2 linked regions of the Diceros bicornis minor genome follow. Each later gene encodes a partner of the first gene's protein in a complex. Links are inferred from orthologs where the notes say so. Each region holds a gene or a part of one and is shown in the gene's direction. Other genes may lie near its edges.

What was found.
Region 2: the proteins of IRGQ (region 1) and GABARAPL2 are in contact, whole or in part, in a crystal structure (PDB 8Q6Q), measured with the Homo sapiens proteins. The link is inferred for Diceros bicornis minor from reciprocal best matches to the Homo sapiens genes IRGQ and GABARAPL2. Residues at the interface, in NP_001007562.1 of Homo sapiens: Asp7, Thr9, Leu11, Pro47, Leu49, Phe57, Pro70, Trp71, Glu74, Pro181, Ala182, Gln183, Asp184, Gly185, Phe186, Glu187, Val188, Leu189; in NP_009216.1 of Homo sapiens: Ser10, Glu12, His13, Cys15, Val16, Glu17, Ala19, Lys20, Ile21, Ala23, Lys24, Tyr25, Arg28, Pro30, Lys46, Lys48, Tyr49, Leu50, Val51, Pro52, Phe60, Ile63, Arg67, Phe104.

What each region holds. Positions count from the first base shown.
Region 1 is NC_080773.1:18,197,499-18,213,453, reverse strand, and holds IRGQ (immunity-related GTPase family Q protein), read left to right. Parts: upstream 1-8,244; 5' UTR 8,245-8,307; intron 8,308-8,347; exon of another isoform or gene 8,348-8,456; intron 8,457-8,761; 5' UTR 8,762-8,763; coding exon 8,764-9,293; intron 9,294-10,445; coding exon 10,446-11,781; 3' UTR 11,782-11,922; downstream 11,923-15,955. Other genes in the region: ZNF576 (zinc finger protein 576), read right to left, coding at 5,132-5,559, 7,210-7,310, 7,680-7,708. UniProt on the Homo sapiens protein: Autophagy receptor that specifically promotes clearance of misfolded MHC class I molecules by targeting them to the lysosome for degradation.
Region 2 is NC_080771.1:25,997,282-26,012,954, forward strand, and holds the start of GABARAPL2 (gamma-aminobutyric acid receptor-associated protein-like 2), read left to right. Parts: upstream 1-8,759; 5' UTR 8,760-8,868; coding exon 8,869-8,902; intron 8,903-9,231; coding exon 9,232-9,287; intron 9,288-10,438; coding exon 10,439-10,611; intron 10,612-15,673. Other genes in the region: TMEM231 (transmembrane protein 231), read right to left, coding at 1,133-1,215, 1,460-1,514, 2,680-2,849, 2,956-3,094. UniProt on the Homo sapiens protein: Ubiquitin-like modifier involved in intra-Golgi traffic. Modulates intra-Golgi transport through coupling between NSF activity and SNAREs activation. It first stimulates the ATPase activity of NSF which in turn stimulates the association with GOSR1.

The sequences.
Region 1 (15,955 bases):
GCTTGGCAGCTAAGAATCTTCCAGAATAGAACCTGAATTACCGTAATGACCATCATTAAGTCAGCGCTCACAGTGGACCAGGCCCTGGGCTAAGCGTTTTATATGGACAGTCGCATCGGATCCTTATGAGGTAGGGACTGTTATTTACTCATTCGTTAAACAGTGATTTCTTGAGCACCTGCAGGCTACAGGCACTGTTCTGGGAGCTGGGAGCAGAGCGGTGAACACAATGAACTAAACTCCCTGCCTTTGTTGAGGTTGTATTATGATGGGGAAGACAGAGAGATATGTAATTAGATATGTAAGTCGAATGTATAAAATGTATAGAATGTCAGAAGGTAATAAGTGCTGTGGAGGAAAAGGGAAGGGGGTGGGGAGGCTTGTGTGTGTGTGAAGCAGTTACAAATAGGGTGGTCAGGAAGGCCTCACTGAGAAGGTGACATCAGAGCAGAGACCTAGAGGAGGGAGAGGAGTGAGCCATGTGGCTGTCTGTGGGAACAGCAAGTGCAAAGGCCCTGAGGTTGGAGCCTGCTTGGGATGTGTGTGGAGGAGCACACGTGGCCACAGGCTGTTGCTGAGGAAGGCGGGGGGAAGACTGGTGGAAGGGCCAGGTGCGTAGGCCATTATACTGACTTTGGCTTTTCCTCTGAGTCATTGTCATAATCCTTAGAGGCGCAGGGGCTATTATCGTGACCATTTTACAACTGCTACGACTGGGGCACAGAAAGGTTGAATTGTCTGCTAGAGGTCACACAGAAGCAGAGCCCGGGTTTGATTCCAGACAGGTTTGATTCCTGGATGCAGGGTGCACATTCTTAGCCACTGAGCCACCCACCAGAAGTAGCAGTCTGTGGTCCACAGCCACCGTCTGACTGGCAGGAGTGTATTTGGTCTCCACAGAGTTACTGAGGTGTTATAATCACATCGGTTACCAATATTTAAAAATGGGCAGATTTCACATAAAAATGGAAGTTTCTGCCTTCTCTTGAAAAATTGTGAGCTCTAGATTGCTGAACCCACAATCCCTTGGGGTGGTAGTTTGCTGAACAGGGACATCCTCTTAATGGGGCACTCCCTCCCGTATGCTAGTCCCCACCATCTGGTATCTGGACCCCTCACACCCTGCTCGCTTCACTGATTTATGGTACCTACATGGCCCCAAAGGGTATTTGCATTTTGATGCCTGTTACCATATCTTAGACTAGAGCATCTTTCAAAACCCACACTTCATCCTAGAAGCTCAGAATCTCAGAACCTGACATTTATCCACTCTGAACTGAGACTTGTATAACCACTATGGCTTAGCCTCACTGAATCTCAGAATCATCAAAGGAGAAATTCACAGCTCATTAAAACAACATGGATTTTGTTTTTTTTTTTTCCTTTCCCCAAAGCCCCAGTAGATAGTTGTATGTCATAGTTGCACATCCTTCTAGTTGCTGTATGTGGGATGTGGCCTCAGCATGGCCAGAGAAGTGGTGCGTCGGTGCGCGCCCGGATCCGAACCCAGGCCGCCAGTAGCGGAGTGGGCGCACCCAACCGCTAAGCCACGGGGCCTGCCCCACAAGATGGATTTTATTTCCCAGGGCAGCATGCCTGAGCCCTCTTCTGCCCTAAGACAGGGCTTTCTAAGCACAGATGTAGAGAATTATCCTTTCATCAGCAGAAATTCCTAAGGATCACGAGAGACTAGGAATCAAGAGACATGGTCTGCTGCCAGTGGGTTCGTTTAGTTCCTCAGGGCCCAGTCAGGCTATGGAAGCCAAGCTAGGAATCCCAAAGAGAGCGTTTAATACAGGGGATTGGTTACATGGGTGTTAGAAGGCTGAAAGCTGAAACGTGGGAAAGGGAGGTAACCGAGAAATCAGTGTCTGCAAGAAGCCCCCACCTCTAGGACTGGGATACAAAAAGAGTGGGATTACCAGAACCCAGTAGGAGCTTGGAGGGCAGGCCACGTGCGGCTGGAGCAGGGACCAGTGATGAGGTGCCACGCAGTTGGTGCTCAGACCTCAAGAGGGACACGCTGCCTTCTGAGAACAGTACTGGACCCCGAGCTGCTGCTGGAGGGGTGCCAGCCAGACCCCAAAGCAAGGGGAGTCCCTTCCCTGTCTTCCTACCTTCCTTCTGCCCATACCTGTCAGGGGCAGAACTTAAGGAAGCCTGCTCTCGAGGGAGTCTGGGAAGCATAGTTCACAGAGCAATGTGGAAGAGCTGGAGGCCGAGAGACACTACGTAAACTGCGCCCAGTCAAGAGTATTTTTTGAGCCTCCGTGGTAAGCGCTGTCCTAGGTGCTGGCAATGAAGCAGTGAGCTAGACAGGACACTTGCCCTCAGGAGCTTGGATTCCAGCATAAAGATATGGATAAGGACATAAATAAAAGTGTGATAATTCCAGGTGTTGAAGAGTGCTAGGAAGAAATTAAATCAGGGTAAGGGTTGGAGGTGCTTCTTTAGCCAAGCAGGTCGAGGAGAGCCTCTCGGAGGAGCTGGCACATGTTGAGACCTGAATAATGAAGAGGCAGCCTTGCGAAGTTCTGGGTAAGAGCACTACAGGCAGAGGGAACAGTGAGTACAAAGGCCCTAAGGCAGAAGCCAGCCTGGCATGTGTGGTGGGAGTGCAGTGAAGATAGAGCAGGGAGGGAGTTGAGATTGCTGAGTGGGCTGGGGCCTGGTCATTCTTGGGTATTGTGGGCTTGGGCACAGTCTGTGGGTGTTATTTATGGGATGTGGAGGCTTATAAATGAGGAGTGCCCTGTAGTAGAGACTGGAGGGGGCTGCAGTGGTAGCAGGGGCACAGTTAGGAGAGTGGGGCTGGGGTGAGGAGTAGTCGGGCTCAGGAATTTAGAAGTCGAGTGTGCAGTTTACTAAGACGATGGCAGTTGTGGAGGCAGGAGTCACGCTGACCCGTTTTAAGTTTCCCATTCGTCATCCAAGTGGTTGTATCTCATGTAGGTAAGTCTGGGGTTTGGGCTGAAGATAAAGATTTGGAACTTCCCAGTGATGCTATTTAAAGTCTTCAGAATCTGTGACATCTGGAGAGTGTAGAAAGAACAGGAAGCCAAGGGTGTACTTGGGCAGGCTGCTCTCTACCTGGGGAAAGAATGTGGGCTTAGATCCTTAGGTTTGGGTTTGGTGGAGCCACTGTGGCAGTGGTGTGAAACATCTGACTTAGAAACTTCTGGGCTTTCACCAGGAGCCAGAGGAAATGTTTGGCTTTAGTGAATTTGATAACTTGGAAAAAAGTGATGGCCAACCTCCTCCAAACCAGTTTCCCCATAAGTCACCCTAGCAAAGAGATCCAGGTTAGATCCCTTCCCCAAATCTTAGACACACACACCCCCCCCACTCCTGCTAGACTCCTGCTAGAGGTAGTATTTCCCAGGGCGGGAATCCTGCTTCCAGGCTGAGAGTAGGTTGTATGTCTATCAGTTAGACCAGGGGTCGGCAAACTTTTACTGTAAAGGGCCAGATGGTAACTATTTTAGGCTTTGTGGGCCATACGGTCTCTGTTGGAACTACTCAAGTCTGCTGTTCTATGTGAAAACAGCCATAGATAATACGTAAATGAACGAGCATGACAGTGTTCCAGAAAAACTATTTGCAAAACCAAGAAGCAGGATGGACATGGCTATAGTTTGCAGATGTCTTCCTTAGGCTATAAATTATGCTGCATGTGACAGAGACCCAAAATAATAGTGGCTTAAACAAGATAGAGGTTTATTTCTCACTTACAAGATAGTATGCAAGTGGATGTTCTAGGGCTGGTATAATGGCTCTGCTCCATGAAGTTGACCAGGGACCCAGGCTCCTGCTCTCTTATTGCTCTGCCATCCCATGTGTTGCTCTCATGGTCCAAGATGGCTGGATACCATGTCCACATTCCAGGCAGGAAGGTGGAGGAAAGGCATGTCCCTTTCTGAAGCTTGAGGACTCCCACTAGGAATTTAGCCAGAACTCAGTTACATGGCCACATCTAGCTGCAAGGGAATCTGGGAAATGTAGTCTTTGTAGCCACCATGTGCCTAGCTAAAAATTGGAAGACAGCTATCAGTTTCTGCCACATCCGTTTCACTTTTGGGCTTTAAAAACATCCCTCAATTCAAATAGAGTCTCTGATTATTGCATGCAGGACATTAACCACTCCAGGGGCAGGGCAGGTAATGCAGGGAGGTAAAACTGGCCTGGTTGGGCCTTTCAAGAGCTGAAAATAGGATCTTAACGGGAAATCTCCCACTGTTGGCCAAATACAACAGGAAACAGAAGGTATCTCTGTTTGATTCCAAACTAGTTTCCACACAGGGTCAGGCCAGCTCTGCCCGGAGCTCCCCCTCCCCGTGCCCTTCTTATGTTCTCTGGGAATTCATGTTCAAAAGCCAGTTCCTTGTTTAGACATTTTAATATAGACCTTTTCTGTTTTTAGATATTATTTCTGTCAGTTTATTGATGCCATCTCTCCTACACATATAAAAAATATTCCATGGCCAGAATGGTACATAAAGTTATTTAAATGGGCAATAAATCATCGGGGGTGGGGGGAAGGCAAAGCCATCCAATGCCATGGCCCCTCCTTGAGTGGGAAAGGCTGGCAGGGGTGGGAGGTGACAAGGACTCAAATTGCAACCCCACATGACTCAGAGTACAGCTCCCAACATTGCAGCCCCATCCCCAAGGGCCCAAGTTGCTCCACATCTGGGACCCATCAAGTGGCATTATAGGCCAGCAACACCTCACCTTTCCTGCCCCCATTCAGGCACAACTCCAGAACAATCTGCTCCTATAGCCCACGGCATCCATCTGGGAAGAATTAAAGATGATTACACAATCTGCAGCTAGCTGTGATTTCAAACTATTTAATTGAGAATGAGGGAGATACAAATAACAATTTTCCCTCTCTTGCTCATTTTTTTTTAAACAAAAGATCTCACTGTTGTCTGATTTCACCATTTCCCTGAAAGCCTGTGTCCTCCAAAGACTGAAGCTCTAATTAAGCATCTTCTGGGGTCCTCTTTATCAGGAGCCCTTTGCCTTTCCAGGGAGGGGAGCAAATCCCTCCAAGGCCCCCATCCCATATCAGAGGAGGGTCCTACCAGCCACAGAGCCCCCATTGCCCTGGGGAGGGCTTAAGCTGCACTCAGAGCTCCCCTCGGGCATGCCGGATGTAGTGTTGATGCAGCCCAGCTTCCTGGGCAAAGTCCTGACCACACTCAGTGCAGGCGAAGGGGCCAGGAGGGGTGCGGGCCTCGTGCGCCTGGCGGTGCCGCCTCAGAGAAGCAGCCAGCCCAAAGGTCTTGCCACAGTCAGGACAGGCGAAGGTGGGCTGGGCAGTGGTGGGTGCAGCCGGCAGCGGGGGCCTGGTGGCTGGACCGTGGCTGCGCTGGTGGGCGATCAGGGCCTTGGAGGAGGGGAAGGAACGGGCACAGGTGAAGCAGATGAAGAGGGCCCCCTGCAGCTTCTGGGCCACGAAGTCCGCTGGGTGCTCCCGCTTCATGTGACGCTCCTGGAACTTGGAATCGGCGAAGGTGATGAGGCAGCGGGTGCACTGTGGGACCCCCAGGTGGCCTGAGGGACGTGGGGAGAAGTCGGGGGAGGCCAGCAGGAGTCTCCGGGAACCTCTCCCAAGCCCCAGAATCATGCCAACAATTAACATTCAGTGCTTACTATGTGCCAGGTTCTATGCCAGGGCTGGACAGCAAGCAGTACAGGCAAACTCTTATTGGACCTGTTATGGGTGAGCAGACTGAGGCTCAGAAAGGTTAGGCAACTTGCCCACAGTCATGAGGCTAGGAAATGAAAATGGTGGAGTCAAGACTGGAACCCAGGGAGTCTGCCCTTCCAGCCAGACTCCTCTGGGGCCAGACTGCCTGGAACCGAGTCCCAGCTCTGCCACTTCCTAGGCAAGTACAACAGGTTCCTCATCTGGCAAATGGGGTGATAACCCTCTCAGTATCTGCCTCATAGGGTTGTTGGAAGGAGTACATGAACTTTTATTTAATATAAAGTGCTTAGAACTTAGAACAGTGCTACACAGTGGTCTGCAAGTATTACTATTGAGAAAGAGAAAAGCAGCCCGACAGCTGGGAGCTGGCCTTGGTGGTCTCCTGTTGAACATAAACGGTGTCACAGAACGTCGTCAGACAAGGCCATGCTGTGGCTAAGACGCATCAAGACAACAGGACCACACCATAATAGCGTCTGAACGCAGACACAACTGTGAATGTTGTCCAAACCACAGAAATGACCAGACGCCCCCATCCTGGCTCACACGAGTGCCTGTGCTGCTGCTGCTGCAGTCAGCTTGCGCCTCTCTTTGTTCCACCCTCCTTCTAGGTGAGAGTTATTAAGATGGCCAGCCATACAATTGCCCCTGCTTCCTGGCAGCATCCAGTCCAGAGCAAACCCCTCTTCCTTGAGCCCCCCCCATATCACCTATCACAAGCCCAAATCCTATCATAAGTTCTTCCTAACGCTCTACTACTGAGGTGCCCCACAGTGCCCCCATGGTGTGTGTGCACTTCCTCAGTACAGTGAGCAATAAACCCAACTTGTGCAACTGCAGCTGTGTTCTGGTGGTCTCTGGCTGGAGGGCGTTGATACTGCCTCCAATTGTTACGGATACTTCTCTGTGCCACAGTTCCCTCTTCTGCAAGTGATAGTAACCAATTTTACAGGGTCTGTTAGGAGGACTGAATGGGATAACGAATGTTAAGCGCTTAGAATGCGCCTAGCACATCATAAGAATTCAGAAGAAGCTGTTGCTATTATTATATGTCATACTGGCTACCTTCATTAATATCAAGCTTTCCCCTTTTTTGTCACTAATCCCCATAACAGCCCTGTGAGGTGAGCAGTGGCAACCCCTTTTGACTGATAGGGAAACTGAGGCCCAAGTCACAATGGAAGTCTGGGGCAGAGTTGGGACTGGAACCTTAGGGCTCCTCTCACAGTCTCTGCCCTCTCCCAGCTGCATCTCCCACCCGAAGCCTCTTGATGCCACTCTGTCTCTCTGAAATGCATCCCACTCATGCTTATGTGGACAGAGCAGGGTGGGGACATCTGAGCGTAATGGGGGTGAAGGTGAGGAGTGGCACTTCCTGGTAGGGCAGGACCCCAACAGGCAAGTCCCTGCAGCACCTTGGACACTAAAATGCTATAGAAATTCTCTTAGCATCAGCTCCTGCACCCCACCCTCCTCTGGCCAGCAGTACTCACAGATGTCGCCTCTTGGACTGCTGGGACTCCTTTCCCTGGACGAATCCTGCTGCTCCATGATCTCTTTGGGGTGCGGGTCCTCCATGGTGGCTGGGACCCCTCTGGTCAAGAGAGGAGCACGGATGATAGAATAGTAAATCAAGTGAAGTCGCTCATCTCTCGCCAGCCTTAGAGGGCCCGCTAATCCTATGACCTTTGACATAGAGGCTCTCCTTGCCAGCCTTGGACCCCCACCAGATACCATCTCCTTGAACTCTAACCTGATGGAGCTCTCCCTAGAGAAGCTTCAACCCTCCCAAACCATTTGACTCCCCGGGGTTTGTGACTCCCCTTAGAGCCTTCTCACCTGTGTGAGACCTATGACCTTCTACATCAAACTAACTCCTGAACTCAGCGCAGGACCCTTGATCTTTGACATCAGCCTCATTCCCGTTTCTCCCACGTGTCTTGAGGCAGGTAGTGGTACCCACGCTTTAGCTCGCCTCTTCCCAGGAGACATCCTTCTCTGACATCCTCTAACTCTTGTTCCACCCAGAGCCCCCGCCTCCCACGCGCTTTCAGCCTCCGTGTCCCGCTGCTCCCAGCACTGCCCTTGGCTCCCTCCTCCCGAGGCGGGTAGCCCAGGCCTCTGCTTTTTCTCCAGACAGCACAGGGCTGCCTTTCGTTGCGCCTGTCAGTCGCTCGTCACAGCGCCGCCACCCGGAGGGGAGCAGGACAGGGCCCACCGAGTCTCCAAGTCCCGGTGGTTTCCACGCCCTTTCGCCTGTTGAGCCTCTCGAAACCGAGATCCTGGACTGCCATCCGGCAATGATGCAGTCGCGCCAACCGGCCCTCAAAATAACGGGTGGGGTCCTTCTCCGCACTGGGATGCGTTATGATGACGTTGCAAGCCACCGGTGCCGTGAGGACCTAAGCTCATTGCGCAGGTGTGGCTGGGCGCTCCTGGCGCGCAGGCGCTGTGCCTCCCTCATTGTTTTAGGCCCTGCGGCAGCCGGAGCTGGGGAGCGAACGCACTTTGGCCGTTCTGCGCAGGCGCTGCGGCTGTGCTCCGAGATCACGCTTCCAAGACACACCCCCTCCTAAAAGGAGTGACGTCAGGTTAGAGTCCCCGGGACGTGTCTGGACATCCCCAAATCCCCGCGCTCTAGGCTCTTCGGCCTCCGTCCGCCGGACTCCAGGGGCGGGGGTGCTCAGCGGCTGACCAGCCTCCATCAGCTGCGCTCTCCCTTGTGCCGGCCGTTGGCTCGGTTAGTGATTCGGAAGGGGGTGGGGGGGAACATCTGTACCCTTGAGAGAGGAGAGGGCTGGAGGCCGAATTTCTGAGTTTTCGAAGCAGAGAGAGAAACATATCTAGAAGGAGAGCGGAAAGGACGCCTGGGTCCCTGGGGAATAGGGTCTGGGCGCCGGATTCCCAGGTCCCTGGGAGTGACACCCGAGAATGGAAGAAGGGAACAGGGTGGAGGACTGACGTCTGACGCCAGACTGGGGCGGCTAGAAAAGACAAAGGCTGGGGGCTCCCTGACCCCCGTCTTCCCCACCCCTTGCTTTCCAGCTATGCCTCCGCCGCGGGGTGACGTGACCGCCTTGTTCCTGGGGCCGCCGGGCTCGGGAAAGTCTGCGCTGATCGCAGCGCTGTGCGACAAAGCTGTGGAGATGGTAGAAATCCCCGACGGACGGCCGGACTCCGGGATCCCCAGCCTGCGAGCTGCGGGCCCAGGCCTCTTCCTGGGCGAGCTGAGCTGCCCACCCGCAGCGCCGGGACCCTGGGCGGCCGAGGCCAACGTGCTGGTACTGGTGCTGCCAGGCCCCGAGGGGAACGGGGAGCCCTTGGCCCCTGCGCTGGCGGAGGCAGCGCGGGCCGCCCTGGCCCGAGGGACCCCGCTGCTGGCTGTGCGGAACCTCCGTCCTGGGGATTCACGGAATGAAGGCCAGGCCCGGGATCAGACAGCGGCCCTGCTGGACAGCGCGGGGTTGGGGGCCGCGGCTCTCTTCGTGCTGCCGGCGGACTGCGGCAGCAGAGACGGCTGCGAGGAGCTGGAGCGCCTGCGCGCGGCGCTGCGGAGCCAGGCGGAGGCGCTGCAGAGGTGAGCGCAGATTTTCTGGGTGGGTTGGGGAGGCCTGGTCCTTTAGTACAGACCTCACACCGATAAGGGACTCTTTGAGGTCCGCGAGACCCCCTACCCCAGCGACTTTGGGGCCAGCCTTAACCAGATACCTGCTGCAGGTCCTGCTCCCTCATCCAGGTCCTGCTTGACTGTTCTCTCACGTCTAGGCCCACCCCCAGCCAAGGGTCAGCTGGAAGTCCCGATCTGTCATCCAGTTCCTGCCTCAGGCGAGGTCACAAGCCCCGCTCCCTAGCAGGAATTCTAGGAGAGGCTGGGACCTATTGTGCAAATACTGCCCCAGGCGAAAGCTTGAAGAAAGGCTCAGTCTCATCACACAAGCTTTTGATCCCGGCGAAAATTTTACCCCAAGACTCTTAAGTCTTCTCCGCCCTTCCCACCAGCAGCTTGGTTCTCAAGCGACCCCACCCTCAATGAGCTTTGTTATTTCCAGGTGCCCTCCCCCACTTCCTTTCTCTAATCCCATCTGGTTTCGGTGCCCACTTGCTGCCCACCTCCTGAATTCTCTCCCCCAACCCCGAGCCGCCTCATTTTATAGATGTCAAAAATGAGGCTCAGAGAGGGGCAGCCTCTCCTCCAGGCCCACTGCTCGTCTTTATTCCTTAGCCATCCCCCGTGGTAAGAACTAGCAGATGAGCCTTCTCCCCTCACTGGTCCCTACTCCCCTCCTCACGCCTAGTCTAGGAAAGAGCGCCCATGGTGACCTTGCCCATGTCAAATAGTGCTCGACTTTCTTTTACTCCACAATACAGTCTCGATTCTGCCTTTGCTCCAAGCCCCAACCTCTGTGAGTTTTGCCCCACCCAGCACGCCTTTACTTAACCCTGCAGGTCCCTCGGAAAAGCCGGGTCCCAAAGGCTGTATCCGGGAGAAGACTTAGTGGGGTTCCCATTTTAAGCTCTGTTGGAAGCTCAATCAGCCCGCCCCATCCCTGCTTTAAGTCCTGGTTTCTGTTTGCTGTGCCATCAGTCTGGCTTCCCACTCCAGCTCCCCCCTCAGATTATTCGGAAAGCCCCGCCCTTGTCCTCATAACCCAGTCCTGTCCTCCTAGCCCAGCTCTCCACCGTTTAGCCCCTCTTCTGCCCATGACCCCATCCCTCCCTGTCCCCACAGGTTCCTGCCACCGGCTCAGGATGGCTTCGAGGTACTGGGCGCAGCAGAGCTGGAGGCTGTGCGTGAGGCCTTCGAGACCGGTGGCCTGGAGGCGGTGCTGTCGTGGGTTCGCGCGGGCCTGGAGCGGCTGGGCAGCGCACGGCTGGACCTGGCCGTGGCCGGCACGGCTGACGTGGGCCTCGTGCTGAACATGCTACTCGGGTTGGATGCTGGTGACCCAGGTGCGGTGCCTGCTTCGGCGCCCGCGGGGACCACGCCTTACCCGGCCCCAGAGCGCCCCAATGTGGTGTTCTGGACCGTGCCTCTGGGCTCCGCGGGCACTGCGGCCGCCCCCCACCCAACCCACTACGACGCCCTCATCCTTGTCACCCCTGAGGCCCCCACTGAGAAAGACTGGGCTCAGGTCCGGCCCTTGGTGCTACCAGATGCGCCGCTAGTCTGCGTGCGAACAGATGGTAAGGGCGAAGATCCAGAGTCTCTGGAAGAGGAAGAAAAAGTAGAGAAGCCCAGTTGCGAGAGCTTAGAGAACGCAGGCGGAGAGGGGTTGGAGAATGCAACTAGTGAGGGAAGGGAGAAACATGGCACTGGATCGCAGAAAGCAGGCCATGGGGAAGGTTTAGAGAAAGGAGGCCATGAGAGTTTGCAGCAGGTTGGCGTCGTCGCGAAGAAATCGGGCAGCGGGGACTCAGAGCGGGCGGCCTCATTGAGCCCGGAGGACGAGACGTGGGAGGTGCTCGAGGAAGCGCCGCCGTCCGTGTTCCCCCTGCGGCCGGGCGGACTCCCCGGGCTCTGCGAGTGGCTGCGGCGCGCGCTCCCCCCGGCGCAGGCGGGGGCGCTGCTCCTGGCGCTGCCGCCCGCGTCTCCTCGCGCGGCCCGAACGAAGGCAGCGGCGCTGCGGGCCGGGGCGTGGCGGCCGGCTCTGCTGGCTAGCCTGGCGGCGGCGGCGGCCCCAATACCAGGGCTGGGCTGGGCGTGCGACGTGGCGCTGCTGCGGGGTCAGCTGGCGGAGTGGCGGCGGGCGCTGGGGCTCGAACCGGCGGCGCTGGCACGACGCGAGCGCGCGCTGGGCCTGGCGCCTGGGGAGCTGGCAGCGCGGACGCGCTTCCCCGGCCCGGTGACGCGCGCCGAAGTGGAGGCGAGGCTGGGCGCCTGGGCGGGCGAGGGCACCGCCGGGGGCGCGGCGCTGGGTGCGCTCTCCTTCCTGTGGCCTGCGGGCGGCGCGGCGGCCACCGGCGGCCTGGGCTACCGCGCGGCGCACGGCGTCCTGCTGCAGGCGCTCGACGAGATGCTGGCCGACGCCGAGGCGGTGCTGGCACCCCACGCGCCCGCGCAGTGAGGGCTGGGGCGAAGGCGGGGCTCCCGGGGTGCCCGGCCTCCCGGCTGCTTGGCTCCCCCAGGGCCCGGGGGGCTCCAAGTCCCCGTTACAAGGAAGGGGTTTGGGGGTCCAGACTCTGGCATGGGGTGTCTGGGCCTCGGAGATAACAGCGGGGGGGGGACGGGCGGGCTGCCATTCAGTATCCTGGGTGTTCGAGGGGGAAGAGGGCTCTGGCTACTGGTTGGAATGTGTGACTTCTAGTTACCCGGATTCCTGGGTCCTGAAGGGAAATAGAGTCTGGGGGACAGGACTCCTGATTTCTCTGGGGACCACGGATCATGACACCAATACTTGTGTTCTGAAAGGAGTTGAGAGGTTGGACTCCTAGAAGGGGGTATATCTTGGTCTCCAAGGGAGTAGAAACTGGGGCTGTTGGGCATCTAGTCTTCCAGAGGGAGAGGGGATGGCAGCCCTGATTCCTGATGAGGGGCATCTCCATCATACTCCATCCACTGGGAATTCCAGTGTGGAGAAGGGGGGGTCTAGTACCCCAGGGGGCTGGAACCCTTGGACTTCTGAGCCACAAAGGGATATAGAGTCTAGGTTTCCTGGGGAATGGCCTGCACACAGCCTCCCAGCTCCTCAAGAGGCAGTGGGCTTTGAATCTTCATTGGGAGGAGGGGCAGTCTCTGGGGTCTCAGACTCTTGGCTCTCAGGAGGGCTGTGGACCTTGGTTCCTAACTCTTCCGTGGTGGGAGGGCTGCATCTAGAGGAGGAAGCAGGGGGCTGTGTGACAGAGCGGAGACCCTTTTGTCCCTCTTGGTCTAATATTTATTCCTTTTGGGGGCCTGGTGACCCAGACTCCTTTCCCAGCTGTTGTGGGGAGGATGGCCCCACAAAAATGAGGGGAGGAGGCAAGAGGGAGGTGGTAGGCTCTGGGGGTAGCCAGAGACCAGGAATGAGGTCTTCTGGTTATGGAAGGGCAGGAACCCACACCTCAGAGGTTTCTCCCACAAATCCCTAACAGATGTGGATCCTGGCAACTGCCCCTCTCTCTCTGTGAGTTTGGCCAAGAAGGGATATGACTGCCCCCATTTTATAGGTGCTGGCAATTCCGAGGTTCTTTGGGGAGTCTTCCTCTCTTCCTCCCTCCTTTAGGGGTTTCTGTCTTTTTTTGGTCTTGGTTTCCTCTGTCTTTAAACCTTAACCCTTTCTGGCCTTGGTATTTTGTACACCTGCCTTTCTGGAAAAGCAGCTGTACTGCTGCACTAACCCAGGCGTGTCTGTTTGGCTACCTCAGGTATCCCCAAGAGGCCCTGCCTTGGAGTTGAAGGCACCCACAGAACAGTGGGGCAGTGTTCCAGAGCGTGTGAATGTACCATGAGTGAGGCAAAGACAGAAACCACAGTGCTTGGAATGTTCTAGGCTGCCAGCTACATGTAGAGGAGAAGCCACAGGTCACTGAATCCTTCAATGTCAAAAACAGAAAGGGGGGACCTGAGGGGCTATCCAGTAGAATCTCTTATGATAGATGCGGAGAGCAAAGCCCAGAGAGGGCAGGCTCTAGGCCCAGCAGCACATAGCAAGGCCCTATGTGGTCTGGCCCCTGCCTGTTCACATGCTCTGCCCTACCTTATCCCCCAACCAGCTTGACAAATCTTCCTACTGATGCTTGAGTGGGCCACCTTGGGTCCTACCTCAGGGCCTTTGCACTTGCTGTTCTTTCTCCCTAGAATGCCTGGCTGTCTTATCAGTCACGTCTCACCCTAACTGCCCCTCAGAGAGGCCTTCCCTGACTGCTCTAACTGAAGTAGCTCACACACCCCCATTATTCATCTCGGCCTGTTAATTTTCCTTGTAGCAGTTATTACAATAGAAAATCACTTTATTTATTTATTTATTTACCTGTTTATTGGCTATTATTCCCTTGCCTGTGTTGTTCTCTTCTGTACCCCCAACACCTAGAATAGTGCTTGCCATATAGCAGGTGCTTAGTAAATATTTTAATTCATTCATCAGTGGCAGAACCAGGGCTGGAATTTAGAGTGCCGGCCTCTTGTCACAAGACAGGGAAAAGGAGCAAGATGGGGGGAGAAACAAGCATCTAATGGGAGAGAGAGCCCTTGTCTGAGGTCAGGAGACCTGGGAAGCAAGCGCGGCTTTGCCACTGTCACTCTGGGTGACTTGGACCAGTGCCTTATTTTCCCATCTGTGAAATGAAAGGGCTGGACAAGAACCATACGTAGGTATGGTTCTAGACCCTGTTTCCTCTGACGGCTGGGGACAAGGGTAACCGATCTGAGGGGCAGATACTCGAGGGATGGTAACCCCATCTCCAGCTTGAGCGTTCAGGCCTCTCCATCAAGTGTGCCAGCCATGTGGAAGAGAGGGAGAGCCACCAGGCAGCGCTGTCCAGTACAAATAGAATGTGAGCCACGTATGTAATTTTAAATTTTCTTGTAGCCACATTAAATTTTCATGTAGGCACATTTAAAAAGTAAAAGGAGGGGCCGGCCCCGTGGTGTAGCAGTTAAGTGCACACACTCTGCTGCTGGCGGTCTGGGTTTGGATCCCGGGCGCGTACGGATGCACCGCTTGTCAGGCCACGCTGTGGCGTCGTCCCATATAAAGTGGAGGAAGATGGGCACGGATGTCAGCCCAGGGCCAGTCTTCCTCAGCAAAAAGAGGAGGATCGGCATCGGATGTTAGCTCAGGGCTGATCTTCCTCGCAAAAAAAGGAAAAGTAAAAAAAAAGTAAAAGGAAACAGGTGAAACTAATTATCATGTTTTACTTAACCCAATATACCCAAAATATTATCATTTCAACATGTAATCAATATAGAAAAGTATTAATGAGATATTTTACATTCTTTTATGCTAAGTCTTTGAAATCTCGTGTGTATTTTACACAATTCAGGTGATAACTTTTCATCAGAAATACCTGACCTCTATTTAGATTTCATAAAACTCATATTTGGAGAAGTAGATTCATATACCCAAGTTGTCCCAATTATATTGAATAGTTTTCCAATAATGGAGATGAGTGTCAATTTTTAAGTTAATTAAAAGTAAGCAAAATTTAAAATTCGGTTTCTCAGTTGCACTGGCCACATTTCAAGTGCTCAGTAGCCACAGGTGGTGAGTGGCTACGGCACTGGACAGCACAGACCTGGAACATTTCCGCTATCACAGGAAGTTCTATTAGCACAGCTCAAGGGTCAGACAGTCCTTCTCCTGACTTTGGGGGTGACCTTGGGCGAGTCACTCAGCAGATGGCATCTACCTCACAGGGTTATTGTGAGAAATCGGTGTATGTACGTATGTACATGCATTCTCTGTCATGCATGTCAACATACCACAGCCCCTCCTGAGAAGACTGGGAGCTCAAAGGTTAGTCTCCTTGCCCCTGCCCACGTGCCCTCAGGCTCCAGCAGCACCCAGATGAGTCTAGTCTGGGCACCTTCTGTCTCAGCCCCATGCCTTTGCTCACAGAGTGCCCTCCTCTTTTTCTACTGCTTTGACACCATCTCTGATTTGGTTCTGTGTGACTTCTCTGCCCTGTGCTTCCTGCTCCAAATCCCCTCTGTCCTCACGCCAATGGCAATCATGCCAGAGCTCATATCAGAGAAAGCAAGACCCACTTTTGTTTGCATGCATCTGTCCACTGGAGTGTGCTGATTATGTGTATATAGTTATATATTGGCACTCTTGGGTGTCTACTTTTTGGGGTGGTTGCCTTTTAAATCATGACTTGCAATGGGATTGAATTTTAGGCTTTGTGGAAGCATAAGGTTGCTAGTGAGGCATCTGTCTCTGGGAGCATCCAAGCAGAAAAGACTAAGACTCCCTTGTGGACTGATCGCTGGCTGCCATCAGGGTGTGTCTACGTGGCATCTCCAGGCTGGAAGACCCTCGAAGGCAAGAATTCAAGGAAATGTATGATGACTCTTAGTGTTGCCATTGCCAGAAGCAGAATAGACACCAAAAACTCGAGTATGAGACAGTCTCATCACCTGAGCTGAGTTTTGTACATTTTTGGATAATGATGGAGGGACTTGTGTCCACTGGGGTGGGGAACCATGCAGGGTGAATGAATCAAGGGTGTGGTTGGTCTGTAGTGCTTTTTGGAGGAGTGAATAAAAATAAGTAGAAATCCCTTTGTTTGTCTGTTCTTTGGGGATTTGAAAGGGAAAAA
Region 2 (15,673 bases), on another chromosome or scaffold:
CATTAAAATTATAAAGGAATTTAGGGAGAACAGACATCTTTACAATGTTGAATTTTCCTATCCAAGAACATGACATAAATTATCATTTTTTTCTTATCTCTTTTGTGTCTTTCAGCAATCTTTTAAAGTTTTATTCATAGAGATCTTGTACATTTCTTAAGTTTACTCCCAGGTAGTTTATCTTTTGGTTTGCTGTTGAGGTCTGTACTTCCACTGTCTTCTCATTTCTTGTATCTCATGATTTCAAACTATTCTCAAACCAAGAGCTCAGGTAGGAAGGAAGCAAAGCATTTATTGAGAAAGACTGTAGATAACAAGGCCATAAATTACTTATAGGCACTGGCCTAGAATGAAGGGGTAAAAAACTAAGAAAAAGGAGCTTTGGTTTTGTGTCTTACAAAAATTACCCAGTATGAAAGGATTAACGGTTCTGGGCACCAAAAAAAAAAAAGAGGTAGTCTTGGCTTTGTAGATTTAAAATCGGAATTCACACACACCAGAAGCAGGGGGAACATGGGCAATGCTCTCAAGGGAGCAGTTTCTGGTTACCGAGATAAGAGGCTAACACAGCGGTCCAACCGGGGAGCCAACCACTTGTGGTGGATGAACAAGTGAAAAGAACGAATGAACGAAACCTAACGCTATATCCCTGTTTTCATGATTATTTTACATTTTCATGATTATTTCTTAGACTCAAGTAACCAGAAGAATAGGATAGAGAGGAATATACAAATGTAAAGAAAAAAATTTAAGACAGGGACTGCTAACCTAAAGTAAACCAAACAAGTTAATTTTTTATTTGGAATAAAAAATCCTTTGTTTCCATTTTTGGAAATGAAACACACGCACATGGAACACCAGAAGTACACTGGGTACACAATGAAAAGTAAGCATACCTCAACACTGGCCTCTCATCCAGTCACCCTTCCCAAGAGGCATTATAATCTCAAATAATAAAAATGGGCAACATGTCATGATTAGTGAGGAGCTACTGAAAGAAATGTCTCCTACTCCAGTTCTATTTTTAAAATCAATTTAAAAGACCTAAGCATTTAAAGAATCAAAGTGTTCAACCATATTTGTTAGAAAAACAGACTTCCACTCCCATAACAAATATTTTCATCTCATTTACCTCATTATTTAGAAACGTATCTCCATGTTTTAACATTTGAATTGGCACTTCTCGATTTCTCAGTTTCAGGCATTCTCTATTGACTTCCCACAAGGAAAGATGAAGATTTAGTTTTCTTCCCCTCACCTCCCACCAGCCCCCACCACCCACACCCACACACACACACCCTTCCCATTCTTTTGGTTAGTCAATACTCAGTGTTCATATAATTATGACTACGTAAATACCATTCACAACTCTGATTACTTTTCCTTTCTCACTGTTCCTTACTTTTTCTTTCTCTGGAGTTACTGTTTTATTTGCTTGCTTAGTTTTCCATGTACTTACACAATTTCAACCAACAGCTTCCATTCCAATTCAAAATCTTACTCACTGCAATATTCTAATAGTGAAAAAGTAAAAGCAAATCAAATATCCACCAATGGGGAAGTGGTTAAATCCATCATGGTTTTTCTATATTATGAAATACTTTGCAGACCTTAAAAAGAATAAGGTTAATTAACAAGTATTGATTCATGTACCAAACTAAGCCTTTAATTTTATGCCTTTCTGTATACCTGTAACTTTTTCATATTTTACAATGAGCATGCATTTTTATAATCAGAAAAAAAATATAAGAAAACGTAAAGTAACCAGAAAAAAAGTAATCTGAATCATATTTTGTTTGTAGTTATTCATATAACAATAAGGTTTAAAACTTTTTTTCATTTCATTTAGCTGCTAGAAAAAAGTCTGAATTTTTGTTTTCAGCTGCACAAGTCTGGCTTGTAGGCCAATCAGCTCAGAGATGTGTAAAGAGATTCAACTTTGGAAGAAGGAAAACCAGAATTTTCATACTTCCAAAGCAAAACGTTTTCAGAAAATGTGCGGAAAGGGGTGATTGTCAAGGAAGCACTCACTTATCCTGAACCAAAGACTAAATTACAAATAGTAAAATGCTTCATTTTCATCCCAGACAGCTGCAGGATGGAGCAGCATCTAAAGGTACAAGCTCAGGGACTAGGCCAGCCCGACTTTCTGGGGAGGTCGCTGAACCAATCACCGCCTTGGCTTCCATGTGTCAAGTCTTCATAAAAACGCCTACCCTTTGCGTTCCCACCGTGGTGCGATGCACAACTGCAGCGACATGATGGGGTTACAACAGGAACACTGCTCGGCCTTCATGACCCACGAACTTTCCCGACCACCCTTCCATGAGGCCAGGCCCGGAAAGGACGGGGCCAGCGACAGGCTGTCCCCAGGCTTCTGCACTCTGTCAGGACGCAGACGCTGACAGCAGTGGCTAACCTTCTTGGGGTTGGAGACGGCTTGGAGAAGTCGAATGAAACGAGAAATTTACCTCTCAGTAAATTAAACCAGTAAAAGAGGCCAGTAAATAGGCTTAGGCCAATGAGCCTGTGCACACAACCTCCATGGGTTCGCGAACCCTTAAGATCCACGCTGGGCTCCCCGGGGGCTCAGGCCGGGCAGCTCGCTACCTCCCTCCCACCGCCACCACCGCCCAGTCCCCGGGGTGGGGGGGCTAGAAAAGGGCAGGAATCACGCACCGAAACGAGCGGGACGCGCAGGTGATCCCCCTGCAGCCGGTTGAAGGCGGGGAACGTGCTCCACGCGAGAAAGCCGCCGCGCTCGGATCCTAGCAGGGCTACGAGCAGCACCTGGTGCTGGAAGCGCACGGTCGGCTGCTCCTCGTAGCTGCTCCGCTTCAGCCAGAACCCTGAGGTAAAGAAGGCGGGAGGGCGGTAGGGAGGAAGTCAGGAAGGCCGGCCGGGGCGCCGCGGGCCGCAGGGGCTGTGCTGCGCACCGGCCGGGGGCAGGCTCACCGTGGCTCCGGAAGGCCACCAGCAGCGGCGGGATGTACGTGAGCACGGCGGCCAGCAGCAGGAACACCGCGGCCTTGGAGCAGAGCCCCGCGCGGTAGCCGCGCTCGGCCGGGTGAGAGTAGAGCTCGTAGAGCGCCATGAGCTCCGCGCGGACTAGCGCCGCACGCCCGGGACCCCTCCGCGGTTCGAGAGGAACGACTAAGTTTGGCTTCTCCTAGTTGCCATAGCTGTGGTCTCCACGGCAACCGACGGCGCAGGGAAAGGAACCAATAGCAAGGAAGCGGGGCCACCGTAGGGGCGGGGCTGACGGGGGCGATGCGGGCTGGTGGACGCTCGACCCGCTTTACGCGTTGCGTGCGTTTCTCCAAAGGCTGGGTGGAGGTAGAATGTTTGCGTGCACCAAAATCATAGCCACCGCCCGTGTTAACACTTGTGTAAAAGAAGATTTTCATAAAAGTTGCCTTACAGTAAATAGCTGCTTGTATGTTATCTGTTAATCCACAATGTGGTTCATACTTAAGTCCAGCTAGTCACAGCACACCCTACATGGGAGGAAAACACACAGAACATAAACTGGCCGTGATCCTCCACCTGTTCCTGGGATAAGACAAAAACCAGGTCCCTTTGTCTCCAAAGTTTCGTTGCTTTCACTCTACTCCATAGTAGGACAGACATAGAAACAGGACACAAATCTCGCAGCTCTTCGTGGGATAAAGGATAATTACTACATAGCTCTCTGCTATACTTTGTTACATGTATTGGGTACAAGCCTGGCTACTGGTTTTAGAGGAAGCTATGGTCCTCCCCAAAGATAACATTGGCTTATCACTTAATTGAATGTTTCTAACCCCCAAACCAGTATTTCGAGCATGGCAGAAGGATTTTTTTTTTTTTTAACCATGGTTCACAGCCAAGTTCTTCATCAAAAGGGCTTGAAGGATCACACTGCAGTGCCAAGAGATAGTGTGAAGTTTGTGCTTAGAGTGGAGTCCAGTAGTTGATGCCCCTATTTTGAAGGCAACCTAGAAGTGGCTTTTAGATGAAGAGAACAACTGAGATCCTAACAACACAGACAGAGGGAGGTCAGGATCTGCCCATTTGGGATAACTAGCTAGGGCCCTTACCATAGTCCAAGGTGACAGTGTCATCGGCCATATGATGCTTTTGACATATCTGGTCTAGTCCTACTCATTCTTGCTTTACAGCTTTTCTGGGATGGCAACACAGCTCTTAAATACAGCAATTGTTAGCTTAAAGCTATGTTATGATTCTGACATTATATTCTATCTATGGTTTAGTGGATGACTTTCATTTATTTAAATAACCATTAAAATAAGATTCTAGAATAAATGGTTCTACTATCGCATTGTGAGGGTGGCTCTGAGGAAGGAGGTGTTTCCCTCCACAGGTCCTTCTTTCAGCAGGAAACACACACTGTAGCTAGTGTCACTTGGTCACTGCTGAAACAGGGAGGTGACTGCTAAGAATTTAGGTGTATGTGTTGGGGCCCGGTCTGGTGGCGCCGCAGTTAAGTGCGCGCCCTCTGCTGCAGCGGCCCGGGGTTCGCAGGCTCGGATCCCGGGCGCGCACCAAAGCGCCGCTTGTCAAGCCATGCTGTGGCGGCGGCCCATATAAAGTAGAGGAAGATGGGCACGGATGTTAGCCCAGCGTCAGTCTTCCTCAAGAAAAAAAGGGGAGGATTGGCATCAGATGTTAGCTCAGGGCTAGTCCTCCTCACAAAAAAAAAAACAAAACAAAACAAAAAGAATTTAAGTGTATGAAGTGCTTCAGCCTCCCCTGAGATGCCATGAGCTTTGCAAAAGTATTTAATAATAACAGATACTAAGGGCCAGCCCCATGGCTTAGCGGTTAAGTGCACGTGCTCCGCTGCTGGCGGCCTGGGTTGGGATCCCAGGGGCGCACAGACGCACTGCTTCTCCGGCCATGCTGAGGTGGCGTCCCACATACAGCAACTAGAAGGATGTGCAGCTATGACATACAACTATCTACTGGGGCTTTGGGGGAAAATAAATAAATAAATAAAATCTTAAAAAAAAAAAAAAAACAGATACTAATATTTACTCTGTTTCCATGATTTGAGGAAGCTAGTCTTTGTGTTTTTATTTCAATTCTTTAAGAGAATATTAGATTTTTTTAAATGCTAAAGATCTGTGTATATTGTGTCATTTTCACACATTCATGACTGAGAACTGACTTCTCAGTTTCCATTTCCATAATTTTCTCATGTTTCATACAATTTACCTCCAAGATCAAAGAGAGTTGTTCTCTTAAAACTACACATTTTAATCATGTTTTACCCCTTTCTAGAAGCTCCCATTCAGGGTCTCTTGAATCAGTTTAAAATTCCTGAATTTTTGCTTCAAGGCTTTGCAACATTTTTTTCACATTGGCATTTATCTATATTGCTGAACCTTTGGCTTCCCAGTTCCCCATTCCAACTTCAGCCTTTGTTTCTATCTTTTTTTTTTTTTAGGGAAGATTGGCCCTGTGCTAACATCTGTTGCCAATCTTCCTCTTTTTTCTCTTTTCTCCCCAAAGCCCCAGTACATGGTTGTGTATCATAGTTATAGAGTCGTAGCTCTTCTATATGGGACGCTGCCTCAGCATGGCTTGATGAGTGGTGAGTAGGTCCGCCCCCAGGATCCCAACCAGCAAACCCCGGGGCAGGCCCCCAAAGTGGAATACTCGAACTTAACCCCTATGCCACCAGGCCTGTCCCTGTTTCTATCTTTTAAGGGAAGTTTATCCTTTAGAAAATGTACTTTTCTTTCTGAAACATAAGATTCACATTCTCTGTGAAGTCTTTCTTGGTAAGCCTTGCTTGGCTTTATGTCAGCCCCCATTGCCCTAGCCATCCCTCAGTATCCATGTTCACACACCTCTCCAACATTTGAAATTTATTCTGTGTGTGTTATAAGTCTGTTAATGTGTCATTGCATATATTGATGATCCTATTTCTCCTCCTGACTCACCTCTTCAACTAACCACCCCCTCAAGGAAGGCATCCAGTGTCCTTAGAACATTCAATCAGCTAAATGTAATGACCCAATAGGCGAAGAAGGTGATGCATATCATCAAGGCAGATCAGAGAAGCCAATTAGAATGGTGAACTGGAAAAAGACATCAAGAAAGTAGGTAAAGATAGAAGACAGAAAGACATTGCACATCATTGAAACAGGTGACACGACTATCAATTGGGTGAATGGTGGATCTTTCCCCTGAGAAGTGTACTAAGCTCTTCCAGGCGCAAGGTGGTGTACACATGCCTTGGACTAGGACACAATGACCAGCTCTGTAAAGGGAAGCAGGGATCTTCAGTCCAATTCTAACTCCTCCACTGATTCACAATCAGATGGTGAACAACCATCTTCATCCCTCAGTGTTTAATTCTATTTGCAAAAAAGGTATTTTCATTTTTTCACTCACTCTCTAGCTGATCTCATCCAGTTCAATAGCTTCAGTATTTCTCTTCTGAATCTGAGACTCATAGATCCATTCACCTACTCTACATCTTCACTTGGATATGTCTCTTGAGCATCTCATACTTAATATATCCAAAACCAAACTCTTGATTCTCACTCCTCAAGCTAGCTCCACTCTATTTTAGTAAATGGCAATTCCATCCTTTCAAAAACCCTGACTTGACTTGTCCCTCATACCTCATATCCAATCTATCAGCAAATTTTGTCTGCTCTACCTTCAAAATATATCTAGAACACAACTGCTTCCCACTGCCTCCACAGACACCATCTTGGTTTAAGCCAACATCATCCTTCACCTGGATTATCACAATAGGCTCTTAACTGTTCCCTTTGCTTCCATCCTCAACCCCTTATAGTCTACTGTCTACACAAAAGCTAACCTGATCACTTAAAAAGGAAAGTCATATCATGTCACACCTCTGTTTAAAACCCTCCACTGACTCTCATTTCATTCTAAATAAAATCCAAATTTCTTCACATGGAATTCAAAGCGCCACACAGCTTTGTTCTAGATCTCTTTGATCTCATCTCCTAACACATTCCTCCTTGCTCATTCGCCTCCAGCCACAAGTGGATCCTTCTTATTCCTAGAATATGCCAACCACTTTACCTAATTAGCATTCTATCCCACCATCACTCTAGTCTCCAACCCTGCTTTATTTTCCTGAAACAGCACCTATCGTTACCCGACATATCTATTTTCTGTCTTTTTTTTTTTTGTGAGGAAGATCAGCCCTGAGCTAACATCCATGCCAATCCTCCTCTTTTTGCTGAGGAAGACCGGTCCTGAGCCAACATCTATTGCCAATCCTCCTCCTTCCCCCCCCCCCCCCTTTTTCTCCCCAAAGCCCCAGTAGATAGTTGTATGTCATAGTTGCACATCCTTCCAGCTGCTGTACGTGAGACGCGGCCTCAGCATGGCCGGAGAAGCGGTGCGCTGGTGCGCGCCGGGATCCGAACCCAGGCCGCCAGTAGCGGAGCGTGCGCACCTAACCGCTAAGCCACGGGGCCGGCCCCTATTTTCTGTCTTGTCCAACTAGAATGCAAACTCCATCAGAACATGGGTGTTGTCTGTTCTGTTCACTGCTTTTCCTGAACACCTAGAACAGTGCTCCTATATGCAACAACAATAATTTCTAGGTACAAAATTCAAAGGATTTTTCACTTCATTAAAGACAAACAAGCAAACAAAAACCTATTTTGGTTACTCAGACACACAATCTTAAAATAACAAAGATACCTTTAGAATGAAGCTAGATTCCACAGCATCCATCAGGAATTTCAACTGTAGGAAATGATGAATGACAATGTTCAAACATACAGGTCTTTCAGCTGCATCAGAATCACAAGCACGCGGCAAGGATCATGTGCCCAATTAAGTCAATAGTCTTGTTACATATTTACCATCTCATAAACAGATGATGACCCAGAGCAGACTGCCCTGATGACTCTGCTAGGAAGAAAGGAATGACATCACTGGAGAACCTCATGGCATATGCTCAGGCAGGTGACACATACAGTGTAGGCTGTGATTGCTGAACCCTACGCTGCCGGTCAAAGAAGCCCATCTCATGACCAGCTCTTAGGGGAATTCTCCGAGCCTGCTAGTCACCTCTAGCTCCTCTGCCAGTTAAGATTAAGGGGGCTCTTTGTGATCAGTGTGATGTTACACTCTTCAAACGCATATTTGTGATACTTTTTCTTATGTTTATTCAAACATTTACTCATGAACAAAGGGAGGAAATGGGATTTGTTTAAATTCAATTTTTAGGTCCGAGGAAACCTATTATGGCTGTCCCCAATACTGAACCCTTGGGAAGTCATCAGCTCCCCCCCACAGTCTCCTCACACACCCCATATTGAGCTCCCAACCTGTTACCACTCCAAACAATACTCCCCAAACTGTCAAGGCCCGAAACAGACTCCCCCTGCTATCACCAACCACCAGAGACCCCTCTTCTGTCATTCATACCACCAAAATGCCCCTCCTGTCACCAACGCCCCAGTCAGACTGCCCTCATGAACAGCCCTCTACAAGAGCCCTACCCTATCAGCCAGACCCTCAAACTCCCCTTCTCGTTACCCACATCCGCCGAGACCCCAAGTTCCCGAATATCCTCTCCCCAGTCTCCAATATAGCTCACAGATGCCCCTGTCATCAACATCATCACCCCCTCTCCCCTGGCGGCCCCCTCGCCGCGCCCTCTTGCGTGTGGCCCCACCCCTTGGCATGGCGTCGGGATGAGCGCGCCGGAAGCCCCGCCCCCGGCCGGTTGCTAGGCTCCAGCAGCCGGAAGTCCCGCCTGCCGTGTAGTCGCTGCTGCCGCTACCGCTGCCGTCGTTGTTGTTGTAGTTGGTTCGCTGAGCTCCGCGGCTCCGAGAGCCGGGTGCGTCTCTTTCCGCCGCCGCCATGAAGTGGATGTTCAAGGAGGACCACTCGCTGGGTAAGCGCTCGGCCAGTGGCCGGGCCGTGGGGCCTGGGGTGGCAGGTGAGCCCCCTCCCCCACTCAGGCCGCCCTGGCCTGGGCCCGGCGGGGCGGATGCCGAGCTCTGGGCTCGGGTAGCCAAGGTCCCAGCCCCTGGGGCAGCTGCCCACGGAGCCCGTGTCGCCATCCGCAGGCTCTGCGGGAGCCAGGGGACCGAGGACCGAGGCCGCCAGGACGCCCAAACGAGGGCCCGGGGGGTGCGCAGGTCTCGGGGGCAGGAGGGCCAGGGGCTTGGGAACCAGCTAGCGGGCAGACGCGACCGTCAGCTCGGTGTGTTTCTCTCACAGAACACAGATGCGTGGAATCTGCGAAGATCCGAGCGAAGTATCCTGATCGGGTTCCGGTGAGTGGACTCCCCGCCCCCTCACCCCGCTGTCACCCCTGTCGTCTAGGACTCGTGATAGGGCCCCAGGCCATTCAACAGTTGACAAGTTGAGCTTCCGTCCCAGTTATAGTAGCAGACGGGCCAGACTGGGTTAGGGGCTGTCCGGGGGCCGGGGCGTGAGGGGTTCGAGCTGGTGCTGTTCGGGGTGCCTCAGTGCTGAATCTCCCAATCTAGGCCAGCGAGCTGTCTGCAGCCTCTGGGCTCCCTCGCCAATTATGTAAGGAGTGATGTTCTAGGACAGGGCAACAGGTCACTGCCACTTTGGGGAACAGTGGTGGGGGGAGACTGTCACTTTGGTCTTGGAAGTGGTACTTGTAGTCTCAGGACATTCATCTTTAACTTTGAGCCTCCATCTTTACCGGACTTCTAGCTCCCTTTCTTCACCCTGACCTGGTCATCCTTTCCTGACCAAAAAATATCTGAGAAATGGCTGAAAACCCTTTCTTCCATGGTTTCCCCTTAATTAATAATAAAAATGATCCTATATTTTTTCCATGGTAGGGGAGATAGTTTCTGTAATCCTTATTGATTTTTAAAGGACATCCAGGCCTGTTATTGTAGCTCATTGCTTGTGAACAGTTCCTTTGGGGAGGAGAAGGGTAAGAGGGACAAACTTGAAACCTAGTTCAGAGAGCAGCAACAGGCCAAAGGAAGAGCTTGGTTCTTGGCTGGCTGGGATTGCCAGTCATTCCTATTAGTCCATCCATTTTTGTTTCCTATGTTCTTTGGGATCTTAATTTCTCTGTAGTGTGAAGGCAGATCCATTCTGGGGTCCTGGAGTAACAGCCTCATCAGATATTCTCAGGTCTGCCCAGACAAAAGGTTGAAAAGCTTTGTAGTAAGGGCTGTGTTTCTCTTATGCATGTTGAGATCAGGGATGAGAAATATAATAACTGACCACAGAAAAGCACTTACCGTTTCCCTAGAAGACATTTATATCAGTTCTTAACCTCCAGAGTGTGTGGTTTATTAAGTCAGGAGCATATTTTCTCATGTTACACAGTTTCCCACCCACCTCCTTGCCCACACATTGTTCATTAGCTTCCCAACAGTGCAAGGCCAGAGCCTCACATTAGAAATCCAGTCCTGACCTCTCTTTGCTTTCCTAGGTGATTGTGGAAAAAGTCTCAGGCTCTCAAATTGTTGACATTGACAAACGGAAGTATCTAGTTCCATCTGACATCACTGTGGCTCAGTTCATGTGGATCATCAGGAAAAGGATCCAGCTTCCTTCTGAAAAGGCGATCTTCCTGTTTGTGGATAAGACAGTTCCACAGTCCAGGTGAGAGGTGTTCACTGTATTGGCCATCTGCTTGGCTGCTTACAGAACTCAAAACTTGGGAGGTCTGAAAACTCTTAGAGGTTCTGACTGGAAATCTGGATTTTGTGCTCCCTGACATTAGGAGCTCAAGGGAAATAAGAAAAGGCTGCAATACATGGGAGTGTACTTTGGGTTAAGAAAATGGAACAAGGCCTGGACTTTTAAAAAAAAATTATGAAATCCAGCCTCAGTCTCCCCAGGATCCCTTAAAACAGTTGAGGACTTACTTAGGCTTAAGCCATTAATAGAACTGAAGCCTGAAATGAGGTTTTCTCCAAATGATTCATATAATAAGACCTGTCATTCTCCACCAGGAGCTCGTGGGCCCTGCTGTAGCTCAGCTTTGGGTAATCACCTTGCCTACTTGCTCTCCAAACTCAGTCAGCTCTGTGCCACTGTGAGGGTCTGTGGCTGCCTAATCCTCACGTATGCTAAAATGGCTGCCGTCCAGCAAAGTGCCCTGAGGTCTCTTTACAGACTTACATCTCCCTTGGCACCACCTGCTCTGCCTGGCAGAGTAACTGCCCTTTGCTCTAGCTGTTGTGCTGCCTGGAAGCAATCTTTGGGATAACTTGGGGCCTGAATCTAGGCAGGAGCATTACAATTCCCTTCTTCTGTATAGTTGACAGCCCAGCTTTAGTTCCCTGTGGAAAGAGGAAAATGGATTGGCTCAGTCTAAGTCCCTGGTCAGTGCTTTCCTGTTACTGATTGAGGACTTCTAGGGCCTGAGCCAGATGCTGGCCCCTCTCCCCTGAGTGTGAGTTCCTGGCTGCGTCTCATCTTGGTGACCCAAACTAAGTTTCATTTGTTACCTCCCAAAGGTAGCACTTCTAAAAGCTAAGACTTTCAGAATCCCTGGGAACTAGCCCAATGTGGCCAAAATATATTCCTTTTGAAAATCCTTGAAAGCTCCAGAGAGGCCTAAGCCAAATTCCAGTCCTTTCCCTACAAAAGGTAGAAAGCTCTGGCTATATTTTGTTCTGATTTTCTCTCTTCCAGTCTCCACCACCTCCACTTCCTGCTGTTTGGCAGAGGAGCAGGATAGGGGAGAAATGGAAGGTTCTTCCCTAAGGCCAATGTCTTGTCTGGGGAGACAGGCCAGGCCCTGCCTGCTGGGTGCCATTGATCTGCCACAGCTATAGCTCAGGAAGCTGCGATATTGCCAGAGGTGATCTTGTCACCCTGTTGGGTTCTTCTAGCCTTCCTTCCCAGGCCTCTGGGCAGTGTGGTGCTGGGTGCACTCTTCACCAGGGGAGGAAGCCCTGGGCCCCTGTGGTCACTTGTGGCTTCCTTTAAGGTGGGAGAGAAGGCAAATCTTTATTCATACCACCTGCAACTTCTGCAGAGCCTTGGCGACCCTGTGTTTCCTCCTTCCTGGAGGTGGTTTCTTAGTGGGAGGAAGTAGGTGAGTAGGACCTATGGCATTGAGTTTATTTTCTTTAATTCTGATCCTCTGATACTTCTTGAAGGAAATGAATCAGGCTCTGGAGACATTAAGATTACTCTGATGGCTCCACATTAATCTAGCAATTAAAATGGCTGCAGATTTTAGCAACTGCCCCCTCCCCCATTATCCCTGAGATATAAATAGAATTGGAAATGAAAAGTGATTCTCAGGGCAGCAGAGTCTGCATCAGGGCCATTTTCTCTCCAAGTCCCATTTGCCTTTCCAGCCTAGTGAGAATCTACCCTAAGGCAGATTACACCAGTGACCCAAGTCAGGATTTTAGGATCACTAACCAGGGCCCCTCTGCTCAGGCCCTGAGTGCCTTTGGCCCCAGTTAATGTCTTCCTGCCCCACACTTAAAGCAGCAGTTCTTTGTTTGTTTGGGGGTTTTATTCTTACAAACAAATTTGTTTATAAACAAGAGAGGCATGTGACATCATTGGGCTTTATGGAGATGCCAATCGCCTGAAAGCACAAACAAAATTGCTACAGGGTCTCCTTCCTGAGTGACTCAGCTTCACCATCTCCTCCTCAAGGCAGTTTAGCAGCCTCTTCCTCAGCTTTTTCCAGCCTCCTTAGGGAAACGCAGGGCCTCCTTTAACCTTCAGCCAGTGCTTGCAGCCTTCAGAGAGTGGCTGGGGAAATCAGAGTTGAGAAAGGATGAACCCAGGCCTGCAGGAGCCCTCCCCTATCCATAACAGGGATCGCTTATGTCTGAGGCTGAGCGGAAGTAACTCCATTTATTCTTGCCTTGGAATGGAACTTTGGGAGAGTGTTCTGGAACACAAGTGAGCACCATGTAAAATGTCGTGATTATTGTTTAGAGTAGTTAGTATTAAATACTGATTCTAGAAATAGAGACAGGCAAGTCCCTAAGAGTTTTACTTCCTAAATTCTGATTTATGTTTTTTTAAAAAGGGGGAGAATCTCAATTGCCTTTTCCCATTTAGCATTGGAAGGTTGAATTCTCTGCCTAGGTGCCTGCATCCAGAATCAGGCCAAAAACAAAAGGAGAACTATGCCTTGGTGCAGACAGGACTTGAGAAGGAACATCAGTGTACAAGTTTTCCAGTCATGGTGTTAGAGGGGAACCCAGGCAATTGTGCCTACCTTGGTGGTCTTTGTTTCGAACACAGACTAGTCTTGTTAATCTCCCCTTTAAAATAGAAACAGGAGTATATTATTATTAAATAAACTGTCTCTATGATGTTATAATTTGGGAATGTTACATTGGGAAACCTCTGCTGTGTTTAAGATTATGGTGTTTAGTTGCTTCTGGATCTTAAAGAGGTACTAAGTAAAAGGAAGTTGTGATGTCTTATAGTCCATTCAAACTTTATTTAGAAATGTGCTTAAATTAAGCACTCTGGATCGTTTCTGGGTAAGTATCTCTTCAAGAACAGGGTTTATTTCAGCAGTAGAATAGGGTTTATTTATATCAGAGAAAAATCTGATAAAAGGAACAAGCAGTAGTTAATTTTTATTTTTTAGAATCTCGGGGAGGCTTCAGGGCCATATTCACTTTCACTTTGAGGCGAGTGCCTTTCCCGGATCCACAGCAGTGGCCATTGTCCTCGTACCTCACCCCGCCTGTCCTCCCCCTGCTGGAAAAGAGATAAATCCAGGTCCAGTGGAAGCATGTAGGCTCCAAAGCAGATGGGTGGCCAGGTGTGCCCATCAGTCCAGCCAATTCATGAGTCAGGCTGGATCCCACAGCCTCCATGACCTGACCTTGATCAGGGGCCAAGGGGAGGTTCTGCGGGGATTGGGCAACCCACACAGTTCTAGGTCAGCCTCCCTCAATTCACAGGCTGCTGAGAAGCTTAAAACTAGTATTTGTCCTCAGCAGCATGGCCATTCCTGGAGGTGGATCCTTCTGAAAGCTGCCTTTATTATTGGTTAGTTGGTCTGGATCTGTGTGACCCTGAACGGAGGGGTAGGGGACAGGGTTTTAGGGAGCAATTTAGGTTCATTTCACTCAGTACTTCGGGGTCCCACCACACCTTAGATTGACTCCATGGCTTGAATCTGATGTTTTCCCATTTCTTTCCTTGTCAGACTCAGAGCTTGGAAGGTGGCAGTACCCCTGGTAGCCCTGGTACCCGGAGGAGTGCGTGTAATACTCAGTGCCACAATGGTGTGCATTAGTGTTAGGGACTGGAGGCCATCTCTGGTTGTCTTCTGCAGCCAGTAACTTAGGCTGGAAGCCTTGGAGTTGCAGTGCTGCTTGCGAATTGTCAGTCCATCCAGCAGCCTTCGCAGCTTAGCCTGACAGATGCATTAGAGCTGCCTCTGTGCTTTAGGATCCTCAGGCATTCCTGCACTAGCAGTGGCCTGCCTAGTGCTGTGTGGCTCAGGCCTCTGAATTCTGAGAGGGAAGCTCATCATCTCAGAGGCTTATGGAACTTGTTCTACACTGACACACTAGCCTTCTGCTAGAGACTGCCTGCTGACTAGGGTCACGTTTTCCTCCCTGCACTTCCACTTGACTGTTCGTTTAATGGGACTTAAAAACAATTTTTTTCAACTGTATTAGTGGCCCAGCTGTTTTTGGCTCTAGGGCAAGTTATTCTGACTCTGTATGTGTGTGGCCTTATCTCACAAGTGCTATTTTCAAATCGTACTGTACAGATGTGCCAGTCTTCTTTCATGGCACCCAGCAAAGCCTCGAAATCAGGCGTTCAGTCACAGGCTGCTGAATGGAGTGTTTAGCTCCCAGAGTTGAGCGTTATCAGTTTTCAAGTTCCTGCCCAAGGGTACCCTGAGAATAAGGACACGGTGCTGCCGCCAACTAAATAAAGTTTCCACGCGAGGCTGCGTGACAGAGAAAAGGAGAACAGTGAGAGGACTCTTATTAAAGTCACTAGGCACAGCCATCTAGTCGTCAGATTACAGGATCTGAAGGGGAGAGTGCTGAGACTTGGCTACTCGATGTGTGATGCAGAGGCTGGCAGCAGTGGCTTTAGCTGGGAACTTGTTAGAAATGTAGAATCTCAGGCCCCACTCTGACCTTCTGAATCCAAACAGGCACTTTAACAAGACGTCCAGGTGATTCCGTATGCATGTTTGTCTGTGTGAGAAGCCCCGTTCTGAGGGAGATCGCTGCAGAAGGTACAAGGACGCTGACATTAGGTCATTAGAACAGATCTAGCTGTGTATTCACTTGGAGGCAGCACAGCCTAATGGTAAGAATGTCTCCTAGCTTTGTGACGTGGGGTGAATTATTTAACCACTCTGTGCCTCACTTTTATTATCTATGAACTATGGATTATGATACTGTGTCATAAGATTGTTGTGAGGATAAAAAGTTAATATATGTAAGGCAGTTAGAACAGTGCTTGGCATGTGTTTACTATTATAATTAGAATTTGTACGATCAGCCTCTATAGCTGCTAGGGCACTGGATAAACAAATTTATAAACCCAAGTTTTACTTAGACAATGGAATCTGAAGGCAGAAAGCTACATGATTATGGGCCCTCCCTCTCAAAGTCTCAGAGCCTGCCTTAGACAGTAGTGATTCCTACTACTTGTACACTGTTGTACAAGAATTCACTGTGGACAGCATATAGAGTCT